Linked DNA regions of Canis lupus familiaris. The protein of the gene in region 1 binds, or shares a complex with, the protein of each later gene. Links are inferred from orthologs where the notes say so. Each region holds a gene or a part of one and is shown in the gene's direction. Other genes may lie near its edges.

Region 1 (6,292 bases):
TTCCCTTAATGTGATTTCATATGCTGTGTGATGTCCGCATTTTACAGATTGGGAAGTTGAGGCTCAGGATGTATCACTCATCTGAGTCGTGTAGCTAAAGCAGGGCACGCTCAAATTAGGGCTGGGGTTTCTGGCGCCAAGCCTAGGATTTGGGTGGGCAGGCCCTCCCCCTTGTGCAATAATAAGGGAAAGAAATTGCCTGCTGTGTCCCTGGCTGAGCTCTGCTTGGTCTCTCTTCCTACCACCAGAGAACCGCGAGAGCCTTGTAGTGAACTATGAAGACCTGGCAGCCCGGGAGCATGTCCTGGCCTACTTCCTGCCAGAGGCACCAGCAGAGCTGCTGCAGATCTTTGATGAGGCTGCCCTGGAGGTTGTGCTGGCCATGTACCCAAAATACGACCGCATCGCCAGCCACATCCATGTGCGCATCTCCCACCTGCCTCTGGTAGAGGAGCTGCGCTCCCTGAGGTAAGCCAAGGGCAGGGTGAGCCTGAGGGTCTGGGTTCCCACCACCCTGTGGCTCAGCTTCGTTAGAGGGAGCGGCAACAGGGCCACAGGCCTGGGTGGGCTGGCTATGGCCAAGGAGAGTTCTCACTCCTGGCACTCTGGCTTGTACTGGTTGTAATGATGTGGATCTGATGGCTCCAGACCCCAAATTTTCCAGATCCACTTCACTTATAGCCCCAATCTCTGAATGGCATGGATCAATCATATGGCCCTCCAGGCCACTGATATGCCCTCTCGTGTCTGCAGGCAGCTGCACCTGAACCAGCTAATCCGCACCAGCGGGGTGGTGACCAGCTGCACAGGCGTCCTGCCCCAGCTCAGCATGGTCAAGTACAACTGCAACAAGTGTAGCTTCGTGCTGGGGCCCTTCTGTCAGTCCCAGAACCAGGAGGTGAAGCCAGGCTCCTGTCCTGAGTGTCAGTCAGCTGGCCCCTTTGAAGTCAACATGGAGGAGGTGAGAGGCTGCACCCGTTGTTGGCTGCCCTTCCTGTCTACACAGGGCCTGCCCCACCTCTAAGCAGTTAGATTAGCAGGGCAGCTGTGGGAAAACAGCATAGACTTGTGTATTCGCCACACCCTGAGGCAAATCAGATCTATCTGGCTGGCCTGTTTAGTTTGGCCTGTGGGGCATTTTTCAAGAACTTATGCCAATATTTTAAAACTAGATCATTTTGTTTAAAATGTCAAAATTGATGTGTTGTTTTTTTTTTTTTTAAGTTGGGGGTGTAGATCTGGCAAAACTGGGCTCACTTGTCAGGCTGCCCCCATAGTAAGGCACCTGTTTCCCCATCCCTTACTCAGGGGCTTTCCCTTGACATTTCTGGTACCAACCTCTCTGGGCCTCTAACTGGGGGCCTCTAGCTTATAACTAGCTTAGACATCGCGGTGCCATATTCAGGAGGCCCTGCTGAAAGCTGCTGGGACATTTGTCTTTGTATTCGAATGACTGCATCTCTACAGTTGGGGTCATCCCTGTACTGGTGGGGGACGCCCAGACTCCCTTTATGGCCTTGCTGCGATTATCTGCTGCTGACCTCTCAGCACTCTGCGCCTGAGAAGTGCTCTGGCTGAGACCACTTTATCAGAAAACCCCTGAGGGTTTATGATTGTGGCAGCCCAGAGCCAATAGCAGACCTGATGTAAAGTCGAGGTGCACCTTGCTTGGGTCGGGTGAACTGCAAGGCCACATGTCAGCCGAGCCCACACCTTTGCCCAGAGTCCCCTGCCTGCTTAGCTCATCCTCCTTAAGAGTCTACTTTCCTAGAAGCTTCTTGAGAAGTCTAAACAGGAACAGGGTTTCAGGCCCTGCTTCTACATGAGTAATAATTACTTCTGAGGTTTCTGGAGTATTTTGCAAGGTGCCAGTAGGGGATGATGTATAATTCAGTTTTCATTATACATTTTGAGGCAGGTGGTATTACCGATCTCAAGGTCACACAGCTAGGAGGAGGCCCAAAGGTTAGAACTCTGGCATTTTAACCCAGAGTGTCTGCTTTTAACGGCTGTGTTATGTGGCCTCTTTTCTAGACATGAAATGAAATAATGGACATTAAATTGCACAGCAAAATGTTGACATGTGACATTTGGCAGCAGAGCCCACACTTAGTGGAGCTCACTGTTTGTTGGGCATTGATTTCAGTGCTTTTGACATAGGACATGGTTTAATCCTTACCCTGAGGGTTTACTTTGAGCGTTACCATCCCCATTCCGCAGAGAAGGCCTAGAGAGGGAACATGGTTGCCTAAGATCACACAGCTCAAGACACGGAGCTAGGATTTGAACCTAGGCAGCCTGGCTGTGGCGTCTGTATGCAGCAGGGCTTGGCTCCACAGCATATAGCAGGTGCTTGACTGGCAGGAGGCATCCACGGGGTAGTGGCAGCAGTGGAGACTGTCCACTGATGCATTGGTCCCAATAGGCTTGTTCCCTATCTTCTCTAGAATGGCTCTCCATTTTCTAGTCAGTTGATGGAAATAAGAATCCTGTCTGTTCTCCTTCCTCATGGGGCCATGGCCAGGATCAGGTGACATAAGTCAGTGCTTGAAGGAGTCCAAAGTTGACCTTCTGCTTTTCCCACATAGACCATCTACCAGAACTACCAGCGCATCCGAATTCAGGAAAGTCCTGGCAAAGTGGCGGCTGGCCGTTTGCCTCGCTCCAAGGATGCTATCCTCCTCGCTGATCTGGTGGACAGCTGCAAGCCAGGAGATGAGATAGTAAGTGGCCCAGAAGCAGGCCCAGAGGGAGCCGAGTTGCTAAGGAAATCAGCATCGGCATCTATGGTGCAGAGAGGGTTGCTGGCAGTGGGAAGAAGAGTCTTTCCCTCCTTGTAAAGGACTGGCCGGTGGAATGTTTTGGATTAATCTTCTGGTTTACTCTTTTTGCTGTCTGGTATAGAGGAGTTGAAGAGGAGAATCAGACAATGGAGGCAGTGGGGAGGAGGACCTCACCCCTGAGTCTAACCCCGGGCTGGGCCTCTGGATTGTTTCTCCTCTCCCAGGAGCTGACTGGCATCTACCACAACAACTATGATGGCTCCCTCAACACGGCCAACGGCTTCCCTGTCTTTGCCACTGTCATCTTAGCCAACCACGTAGCCAAGAAGGACAATAAGGTCGCTGTGGGGGAACTGACAGACGAAGACGTGAAGATGATAACCAGTCTCTCCAAGGACCAGCAAATTGGGGAGAAGGCAGGTGGAAGTCTGGGTGGGATTGTCGTGCTCCCAGAGGAGCACCCAGAACCATGGTTCTGATTCCCAGGTCCTGGGGTCTACCCTTCTTCATTCTTTCCCTTCCCAGTGTTGGCTTGGTAAACTTGCCTTGAGGGAGAGGGGGCGGTGCACTCTGAGGAGGAGCTTGAGTGCTGGTGTCCAGACTGGCTTCTCGGTGGGACAGGGCTGTGGTGAGGAGTCAGTGGATCGAGTCAAGCCCAGGCTCAAAGCTGAAACAGGTGGACAGTAGGAATAACTCCTCTTACAAAGAAATCAGACTCCTACCAACTCTTGTTTCTCTAGGAAGAACACCATCCCCAAGTTGGTTTTAGGTTTATGAGGTCTTTTTGTTTTAATTGTAGACATTTTTGCTGAAGGTGGGGGAGCTAGGGATTTATGAGCCAGACCCTCAATTCAGGTGAATCAGTGAATCAGCGCAGGTTCCATTTGGCTGGTTTAGCAAACGGGATCCTTCCCTAGAGGGCAGGACCATATGTGACGCACTCACCTCCATCATGTCCACCTCGGCCACCAAGATTTGGGGCTCCACCAGGATAGGTAGGGGTTTTCCCAACCTTGGAGAATGAGAGCTTCATTCTGCCAGCAAGCTCAGACCTTGAATGCTTGTAGGGCCGTGTTCTAGGATCTTGGGAAGTCAGACACAATTCTTCCCTTCCTGGAGCTCATAGTTAATCAGGGTCCCCGATGATAAGAAAGAAACAGGACCTTTTCACAGAATCAGAAACCGAGGAAGACAGCCACAACCCACGATTCTTTGTTTCCTGCTTTTTGCAGAGGAAAATTAGTACTAATACAATGGTCCTGTTTTCAGATTCTTCGCAAGTATTTGAGGCAGTTTCCGCACCTGGCTTGCATCAGCTGTGAGCACGCACTGAAGGAGCAGTGTGCTTCTAGAACACTTTGCCACTGCCCTCTTCCCTCTGCTTCAGTTCTCAGCCACTGCTCTCCCACTCTCTTGGGGAGACAGGAACAGCAGCAGATAGAGCATAGAAGACAGGACGTGCTGGACTTGAACAAGGCTTGGGACAGGGCAGTCCCTGTGTATGCCTTGTGCCCCAGACTTCCAGAACTGCTCCTCGGTGCCCTAACATAGAAGGCTCTGGCCACACTGCTGGACCTCGATAGCTGTTACCCTGTCTGCCTTTTTGTCTGCATAGCTGATCTTGCCAGGCAGACACGTCCTAGCATGGTACTGGCTGCTCAAGTTCAGTTAAACCTATACACTTACACAGTGACCTCCACAGGGTTGCAGAGGGTGCCTTCTAAACAGGTCCTTGAGAAGGATCTAGAGGGGCCCCTCCTATAGATGATGACATCTCTGCGGGACACCTTTCTGAACACTGTCAGGGAGGGAGGGCTGCATGATCACCAGGGAGGGTTGGTCTGTACTGACCCCTTTGTCCACTGTTAGCATGGATATTTTTACCAAGAACTTGGACAAAGAAACCATACTTGGCAGTTTTGGGGACAAACTGAAAGGATGACAGGCAAGATCCAAAAATGATGGGGTTCATTTGAATTATTTAAGCCAGAGGTTTGCAAATCAGTGGCCTATGGGCCACTTGCATCCTGCTGACGGGTTTGGTTGGTAGGTGGTTCTCTATTTCCCTTTCTTTTTTTATTGCATTTAGTTTTGAATTAGTTATCATCCTTTAGGAATTAAGAGATTGCACCTAAAAATCTGGAAGCCTCAGTTTGTGACCATCCAAGCACCCGTCAGTGCTAGGTCTTTGTTTTTCTCCAGCAACTACTCTTGGGAGAGCCAAGGGGCAGCTGTCCTTTCAGATGGGGACAGCTCCCTGCTATCTGTCCCAGCCACCCACTGCTCCACCCTCTAACCTGATGAGCTCAGCTTACTTGCCTATGGGACATTTGATTTTGTGGTGCCTGATCACAGAAATAGTCAAGGGGTAGATGCCATGCCTGAAACTTAGATTTTTAAAAATTTTTATTTATTTGTTTTTTTAAAGATCTTATTTATTCATGAGAGAGGCAGAGATATAGGCAGAGGGAGAAGCAGGCTCCCTGTGGGGATCCTGACACAGGACTCGAACCCAGGACCCCAGGATCATGACCTGAGCCAAAGGCAGACACTCAACCACTGAGCTGCCCAGTGGTTGTCAGGCACCCCTGACAGATTTTAAACAACTAATGGGAGAATGAGTCTGGAGCCAGACTCCTTAGGTTTGGACTTTGGCGTAATCCTTGTGTGATCAGATGAGCATCTGGCCTCTATACGGTGAGATGGGTAAGATGGGTGAGATGTGGTGGGTAGCACCCAGTAGAGTTGTTTGAAGGTTACATAGAGGTGCACATGTGAATGCTGTGCTATTGCATGCTCAGTACAAAAGTGAAATTGTTCCTACAAAAACTGGATGGGTGTGCCCCCCCCAGACAGTGTATGTGGACTGGAGGAGGATAAAAATAGCCCTTGGGCACTTTCTTGTGCTCACAGTAGCTGTGTAGGTGGGAACTTGGCCTCACTCTATGCTGGGCTGTTCTGAGCAGGGGGATGGGGCGGTGTGTATTGAGAATTAAGAGCATGAGCTTCAGATTCAGAGGAATCTGGGGTCAGGTCCCGCCTCTCTTATTTAGGAACAGTTTGACCAGAGCCTTGGTTTGTTTCCTCCTTAGTGATATGGAGGAACTAGGATCATTATGAGGGTTAAGTGGACTACTTCATGGGAAGCAGGTCATTCCTTGGCAGGTCTGGGTTTGATTTTACCTTTTTTGTTTTTATTATTTTTTTAAGATTTTATTTGTGACAGAGAGTTATACCTGAGTTGGGCGGGGAAGGAGAGGGAGAAACAGCCTCTCCACTGAGCAGGGAGCCCAACTTGGGGCCGTTCCCAGGACCCCAGGGACACGACCTGAGACCTGAGCCAAAGGCAGACACTTAACCAGCTGAGCCACCCAGGCGCCCCTCATTTTACCTTTATTACCAGCAGTACGTTTGCCAGTTACTTTCTCAGACCAGCTGGGTCAGTAACAGGGCAGCATAGGCTTTAGCATGGTTGCTCCCTTGTCCTCCAGTCTACAGGGAGGCCCATC
Region 2 (6,936 bases), on another chromosome or scaffold:
AGGTTCACTTCTTGGATTTCTAAGGTGGTTCCAAAGGAGAGTGCTATGCTGGGTCACTGTATTAAAACACATTAGTGGTGGCCAAACTCTGGACCCAATGGTGAAAAGAGCTGGACAGAAGTCTTTGTTGAGGATGGAGGTACGGACTACCTCTCACCACGGTTACCTTCGCGGATCTAAATCACAAGGGCTCCAAGAAGAGTCCATTAACTTATAATAGATGCAAACCTCAAATGAGGCCAGTGTTCTAGGGCTAATGACAAAGGAACTATCCCCCTGGATGACTGCATAGCAAAACCAGAAATAAAGACTCCTCTTCCTTAATTTTTTAAAGACGGTGCAGATAATATGACGGAGACCTGGGAGACCAGGTGAGAGGCATTTTAATAAACACAGAAGAATAAAATAAACCTTCCATTCATTTACAGTCCTCGTAACGGACGTGGCTCTAACGCCGCTTCCTTTTAGAGGCCTTCCGGAAGCACCAAGGAGGCTTCAGGCTGCCTCCCCGCCTCCTGCCCCAGGACTGAGTACTGACCACCCTTACGGCCTCTGGTGTCATCGCAGCGCCTCCCCACGTGACCGGGGGCTTCCATCCGGCGGGAACCGCGCCCCCTCAGCCTGGCGTTCGGAGCTATGGCTCTAGCCAGGTGCGCGAAACACGTGCGCTGGAGGATGGATTTGTGGAGCACTTTAGCCCTTCGGGCCGCTCCCCAGGATCCTCCCGATACCGCTCGCTCCGCCAGGAAACCACAGTCCAGCGAAGGCCGACTGCGCCCACACAGGTTTGCTCACGCTTCCACCCCAGCGACACGCAGGTTACAGCGCGACTTTTTTGCGGCAGTTTAGGTTCGTTAGGGTTCACAGCGTTGCATTATGGGAAATATAGGGGCGGGAGAGCGGAAGGGGCGGGGCAAGTGGGTCCTGCGCTTCCCGCTGCGAGGCTCTAGGCTCGGGGTGTCGCGGTGTGGCCGTCTCCGCGTTGGTCCTCCGCCCCGCCCGACGGGCGGCAGCGCGCTCGGAGGCGCGGCAAGGGGCGCACGGGAGTCGGCGCCCGCCGGCTGCACCATGGTCCAGCTCAGTGAGTGACCTTCCGGGCGGTCGCGGGGGCCGGGAGCAGGGGAGCCGATGAAGCCGCTCTCCTAGGCGAGCTGGAGGCAACCCGAACCTGCAGCGGCCGCACTGCCTTATGTCTGTCCGTCGCCTTAGGTTTTTCTCACTGAATCCTTCCCGAAAGTCTGTAAGTGGCTTTCAGTTGATAGGTGAGGCAGCTGAGGCGCCGCCGTGGTCTCTGTTACAGGCGGGCTGGTGTGGAGCGGCTTCAGGCGGTCGCTCTGGCTGCAGTGCATGGGAGGAGCTTCACGAAAATGTAGTAGCCAAGCCGGGTCGACAATAATGGGTGGATGTAAGGATGGATGCTTCAGTCGAGGAAGGGGCTTGTTTTATCTGCCTCATTTTGTTCCTCTTATGTACTCGGTGCTTGTGTCCTAACGACTTCTCTCTCTGCAGCTCCTGTCCTGCGCAAGGCCTACCACGGGGGCCACTTAACCATCCGCCTTGCCCTGAGCGGCTGTACCAACCGGCCTTTCTACCGCATTGTGGCTGCTCACAACAAGTGCCCCCGGGATGGCCGTTTCGTGGAGCAGCTGGGCTCCTATGATCCACTGCCCAACAGTCACGGGGAGAAAATCGTTGCTCTCAACCTAGAGCGGATCCGGCATTGGATTGGCTGTGGGGCCCACCTCTCTAAGCCTGTGGAGAGGCTTCTGGGTAACTCAGCTCTAGATTTGCTTCATTGAGGGGATTTTAAATTGAAGTCCGTTTCGGAATAAGAGTTAAGAGTGACTTTCGTTACCTCAGGCTGCTCAGGGCTAGAGTGAAAACCCGAGTTGTGATCTAATTGTCATTTTGACTGGAGACCTCTTTTGTGGGCTCTTTTAGGAGACTTTTCGATGAATGGGATTTTGTGTTGAAAATAGTAATAGCTTTTCTTGAATGAATATCTGTCTTTTTTTTTTTTTTTTTTTTCAAATCAGGACAATAGGAAGTAACATCCATTGTCTCCTTGTAGTAAATGGAGGGGAAGGACTGGGGGGAAGAGATAAGACAGTTTGGCAAGAGAGGAGCAGGTTTTAAATCCATGCTGTAGGTCAGGTCTCTGTTAGACCTCGGCTCTGTAAGGCTAAGCTCCCAGGGAAACCCTGGTTATACCATGTTATAATGAATGAAAATCCTGTTGCTTTTAGGTCTTTCTGGCTTTTTCCCTCTGCATCCCATGATGATCACAAATGCTGAGAGGCTGCGAAGGAAACGGGCACGTGAAGTCGTCTTAGCATCTCAGAAAACAGATACAGAGGCTACAGAAACAAAAACCAGCTGACTTCAGTGAGCAGAGAACATTGGGAGAAAGGTCAAAGCCATCTTAAAACACCTGTGCAGAGCTCTTAGTTTTATTAGATTTGGAGGTCAATAAATGGGAGTTTTCTGAGTCACGCATGCTCTTCTGGCCTGGCTTGAGCACGACTCAGGGAGAGATTTGTTCTTTCTGACATAGAGCTGGTCTAGGTACTAATTAGCTTTTTCAGCCTTCATCTGGAAGAGACAGTGGCTCTGGGGTGTGCTGGAGTTGGGCTGGGCCTTAGAACTCTTGGACAACTTTACAATCTGCTGCTTTCTAAGACTTCCCCGTTTGAAAGCTCCAGCCAGCCTGTCCATGATCCATCCTTGCAATTTCTTCCTTAATCATTTTTGGTCATCCCACTAGCTCAAGAATATAGTTACTTTGCTTATTAATATTTTGTGTATGTGAAATTGTAGATTTACATTTTCTTGTTTGACTCAATCTCAGATTTACAAGGGTAGATTTTTTATGAGCTTATAAGCTATGATAGCATACTTAAGAATGAGAAACTAGAAGAAAGGTAATAATGAACAATACCTACATACATTTTTGACCCTTTACAACTAAGATTATTTGTGAGGATTATAAGGTATCATGAAAGTGGGAAAGATGGTCTCCCTTTGTATTGATGGGAGATTGAGGTTCAGGGGTGGAAACATGCCCAACGCCATCTATTTTGATTTGGGCAGAGCTAAGATTCAGACCCCAATACGCATACCTGGAGAGCCCTTTCCAACATATTATATGGTCGGGGACAGGATTGGTGTGAGATGAGTAAAGATGAGGGGCTTTTCAAAAGTCCACTTAAAAAGCCAGTGATATGAGGTTTAGGTGTCGTGAGTTTGGTAACATACATGACTGGCTGTGGCCCAAGCCCAAAATGTCACATCTGCTTCACCAGAATTGCAGGACAATCACAAGCATGGATTACAGGGGTTTTGTGCACACTATAGATAATACAGATTTCAAATTCTGGCATAAGACTAGGATGTAGAAAATTTATAGAGGAGATACTAAAGCCCTATCAATGTACCAACTTATTTTATTCTCTGGGTTTTATATACTGAGAACAGTTACCAACCATAATGAGTCAAGTCTCTCCCAAGGTTGTCACTGGTTGGCCTCCCTTGCATTGAGGGGACTTCAAAGGCAGGGCAAGAACAGCTGACTACTTGGATTTGATCTTGGATCTGGGAAAGAAGAATGCTATGAAAACTATGGGCACTCTGGAAGTTAAAAATAATGTACTCTGGAGAGTTTAAGATCTTTGGATAAACTAGTTGCTAGAGCAGAGAATGATCATGAAAAACACTGACCAGTAATGGGAACTGCTGGGAAATGGGTTAAGGTATTTTGGACTACTGAGTTTCCACCAACTCAGGTATTCACTTTGTGCCCTGGTCTGTCTGTCCCCTGTGATGTGTATAGACATACTCCCTGTATGAGCTCATCCTGTCCCTGATTTCCAATTTTCTCTAGCTCTATGCTTGCTTTGCATCACCTGGCACAGTTTCTCACCATCTTAGTTGATTACATCAGCTTACTTGTTTCAAATCCAACATGCTCAAACCCAGCTCTGCACTTTAGAAAGCATTAAAAAAAAAAAAAAAAAAGCCTTTGCTTCAGCAGCTTTCTTTTTTTTCTTTCTTTTTTTTTTTCAGCAGCTTTATTTTTACTCAGATGAGGGTTTGGTCATGTTTTCTTAACCAAAGTGGAAGGTGATAAGGAACTGGAAGGTGAATGGGAATGATTCTGTAATGTTACAATTTTTAAAAGACTAGTATTTTGTGCTTTTAGTTTAGGCTTTTTTCTTGCAGGAATTAGGGAAGAGTACTTACCCAGCAGTCCCAACCTGTAGGTCTTAGAGTTTGTGTACTCTTGTCAGGATCATTGAAAAAGAACAACATTGAACCATGTCAGGTCTTCAAATGTCGGTGTTATGAACTTTTTTACTTAAAAAAAGGCAAAAGGCAATGTATGGTTCAGACGTAATATGGACATGCCATCTATTGAATGAGCTGCTGCACTGGGACACCGGGGAGAAGATAATCGCCAGATTTCTTAAGGGGAGGAGGGTGCAGCGGCCCCGACTCCCGCTCCGCTACCCAACACGCGAGGTCCCGCCCGCCGCTCCGACCTTCGGTTAAGTTCTGGCCACGCCCCCACTTGCAGCTGCCGTAAAGTGCGACGTCGTGGCCACGCCCTTCCGGCGCCTCTTGTGACGCAGTCACTCCCGGGTTTTTTTTTGCGCGGGAAAAGGAGGCAGTCTGAAGCTGTACCCAGTGTCGCGGAGGTTGCGGCGCCCTCCCTGGCTGCCGGCCATGGGGTTGCTGGAGCTGTGCGAGGAAGTGTTTGGCACCGCCGACCTGTACCGAGTGTTGGGCGTGCGGCGCGAGGCCTCGGACGGTGAGGTCCGACGGGGCTACCACAAAGTGTCCCTGCAGGTGCACCCGGACCGGGTCGGCGACGACGACAAAGAGGACGCCACCCGCCGCTTCCAGGTACGCGAGCCCCGGCTCCGCTGGCTGCCTGGATTTCTCTCGATCTCCTGGCCTGGTGTTTTCTAATCTTTATTTCTCGCAGCGCGGTTGCAGTGAAGGATGCAAGGGTGACTTTTGGATGCTCTTTCCTCGCAGATCCTCGGGAAAGTCTATTCTGTTTTGAGCGACAAAGAGCAGAGAGCGCTGTACGATGAGCAGGGAACAGTGGACGAAGATTCTGATGTGCTTAACCAAGATCGGGACTGGGAGGCCTATTGGAGGTTACTTTTTAAAAAGGTAGAGGAGTCTGGAGGTTTCTTTGATTATTCCAGTCATTCATTAAACAAACGATATATTGAAACGCTTTAAGGTATTGCATTTTGTGTTGTGTAGGAATGAGGAATTTGTTTCATTTTCAAATACAGATAAATATGTATACACACACGGGCAAGTATTTCCCAGGAGATAACACATTTGAAACAGCATAAATCACACATACATTTACTGAAATGAGTATTTAATTTCCTGCTGATGTAGAGCAAGTGTAGTGAAAAAGGTGAGGGTTTTTTATTTTCTAAGATAATGCTCCAGGGTCGCCTGGGTGGCTCAACGGTTGAGCATCTGCCTTCAGCCCAGGGCGAGATCCTTGAGTCCCAGGATCGAGTCCCAATCTGGCTCCTTGCATGGAGCCTGCTTCTCTCTCTGCCTCTCTCTCTCCCTCTCTCTCTCTCTCTCTCTCATGAATAAATACATAACATCTTTACCAAAAAAAAAGATAGTGCTCCATTTTACATATCTCTACCTGTAAGTCCTGAGTTCTGGGAAACTTCACGTAAATTTTCCTGGTCTGTAGTTTAGTAGTTGTGAAGATTGGGGGGAGAATTCTGGAAAAACTTTGGCATAGAAAGCGTGGTTCCAAAAAAAAAAAAAAGCGTGGTTCCTTGCAACAAATTCAATTCAAGCCACTGTTGTACTTGGGAAGAAACATCTCAATACCTAAATCTAGTTTTACTAGTATATTTTTTTTTAAATAAAATTCTCAATAAAATAAAATTCTCACAGTTAAAGTATATATCTCTTGTTTGTCCAGATATCTTTAGAAGACATTCAGGCTTTTGAAAAGACCTACAAAGGCTCTGAAGAAGAGCTGGCAGATATTAAACAGGCCTATTTGGATTTCAAGGGTGACATGGATCAGATCATGGAGTCTGTGCTGTGCGTGCAGTACACAGAAGAACCCAGGATAAGGAATATTATTCAGGAAGCCATTGATGCTGGCGAGATCCCCTCCTATAATGCCTTTGTCAAAGAATCAAAACAAAAGATGAATGCAAGGAAAAGGAGGGTAAGATTTTGAATGCTGTTAATTTATATCTTGATTGCTTTTAAAAATAATATGAAGGTATTTACAATAATAGAAATATATTTAAGTTTATTGAGACGAGAGTAAGGATTAACTCTATAGTTATATAGCTCTTTTCTTAATAAAATGAGCATACCAGTTCATCAAGAGCAACTTTTTTCCCTAGTATGTTGTGCTCAAGAAGATTTTGCTATGTGGATTGTTTAATATCATCTTAAGATAGCACTGAAATATTCTTCATATGGGCTAGTTCTTTTAGCTTTTTCATGGCATTGCTCAAAAAATAAAGTAATGGAGTCCAGATACAAAGGGTGGACGGACAGTGGTTCTCAGTTAAGAGACAGGGAGAGGATGGCTAAAACTTTTTTTTTTTTTTTTTGACTCTGTCTTGTGCATACAGATTTTCTGTTGTTTTTGTCCAGATTGATTCTTAAATTGGACCTAGAACATACATTTCTAAACAAATGATTTAGTTTATTTTGATGAAAGTGTCTTCCCAAACAAGCTTTGAGAGGAACACTTGTGAAGAATCAAGAATTGTGGCTTCTGTATCTTATTAAACTGTGGAATTGGTGAGGGTAGGAATGATGGCAGAGAAAAGGAGCTTAAGGATAGACAGCTGAGTTCTGGGAGGGCGTGGATTCAAGGTAGCTAGCTTGTGTCTTGTGGGGAAGACCAGACTGGGACTGAAG

The links.
Region 2: the proteins of MCM2 (region 1) and DNAJC9 are in contact, whole or in part, in a crystal structure (PDB 7CJ0), measured with the Homo sapiens proteins. The link is inferred for Canis lupus familiaris from reciprocal best matches to the Homo sapiens genes MCM2 and DNAJC9. Residues at the interface, in NP_004517.2 of Homo sapiens: Glu65, Glu66, Glu67, Asp68, Glu104; in NP_056005.1 of Homo sapiens: Lys185, Arg189, Arg192, Lys244.

Annotation. Positions count from the first base shown.
Region 1 is NC_049241.1:1,717,556-1,723,847, forward strand, and holds part of MCM2 (DNA replication licensing factor MCM2), read left to right. Parts: intron 1-248; coding exon 249-468; intron 469-753; coding exon 754-961; intron 962-2,588; coding exon 2,589-2,723; intron 2,724-3,007; coding exon 3,008-3,199; intron 3,200-6,292. UniProt on the Homo sapiens protein: Acts as a component of the MCM2-7 complex (MCM complex) which is the replicative helicase essential for 'once per cell cycle' DNA replication initiation and elongation in eukaryotic cells.
Region 2 is NC_049225.1:24,557,504-24,564,439, reverse strand, and holds the start of DNAJC9 (dnaJ homolog subfamily C member 9), read left to right. Parts: upstream 1-2,833; 5' UTR 2,834-4,722; coding exon 4,723-4,902; exon of another isoform or gene 4,903-5,037; coding exon 5,038-5,178; exon of another isoform or gene 5,179-5,390; intron 5,391-5,971; coding exon 5,972-6,226; intron 6,227-6,936. Other genes in the region: MRPS16 (28S ribosomal protein S16, mitochondrial), read left to right, coding at 877-1,081, 1,510-1,770, 2,247-2,380.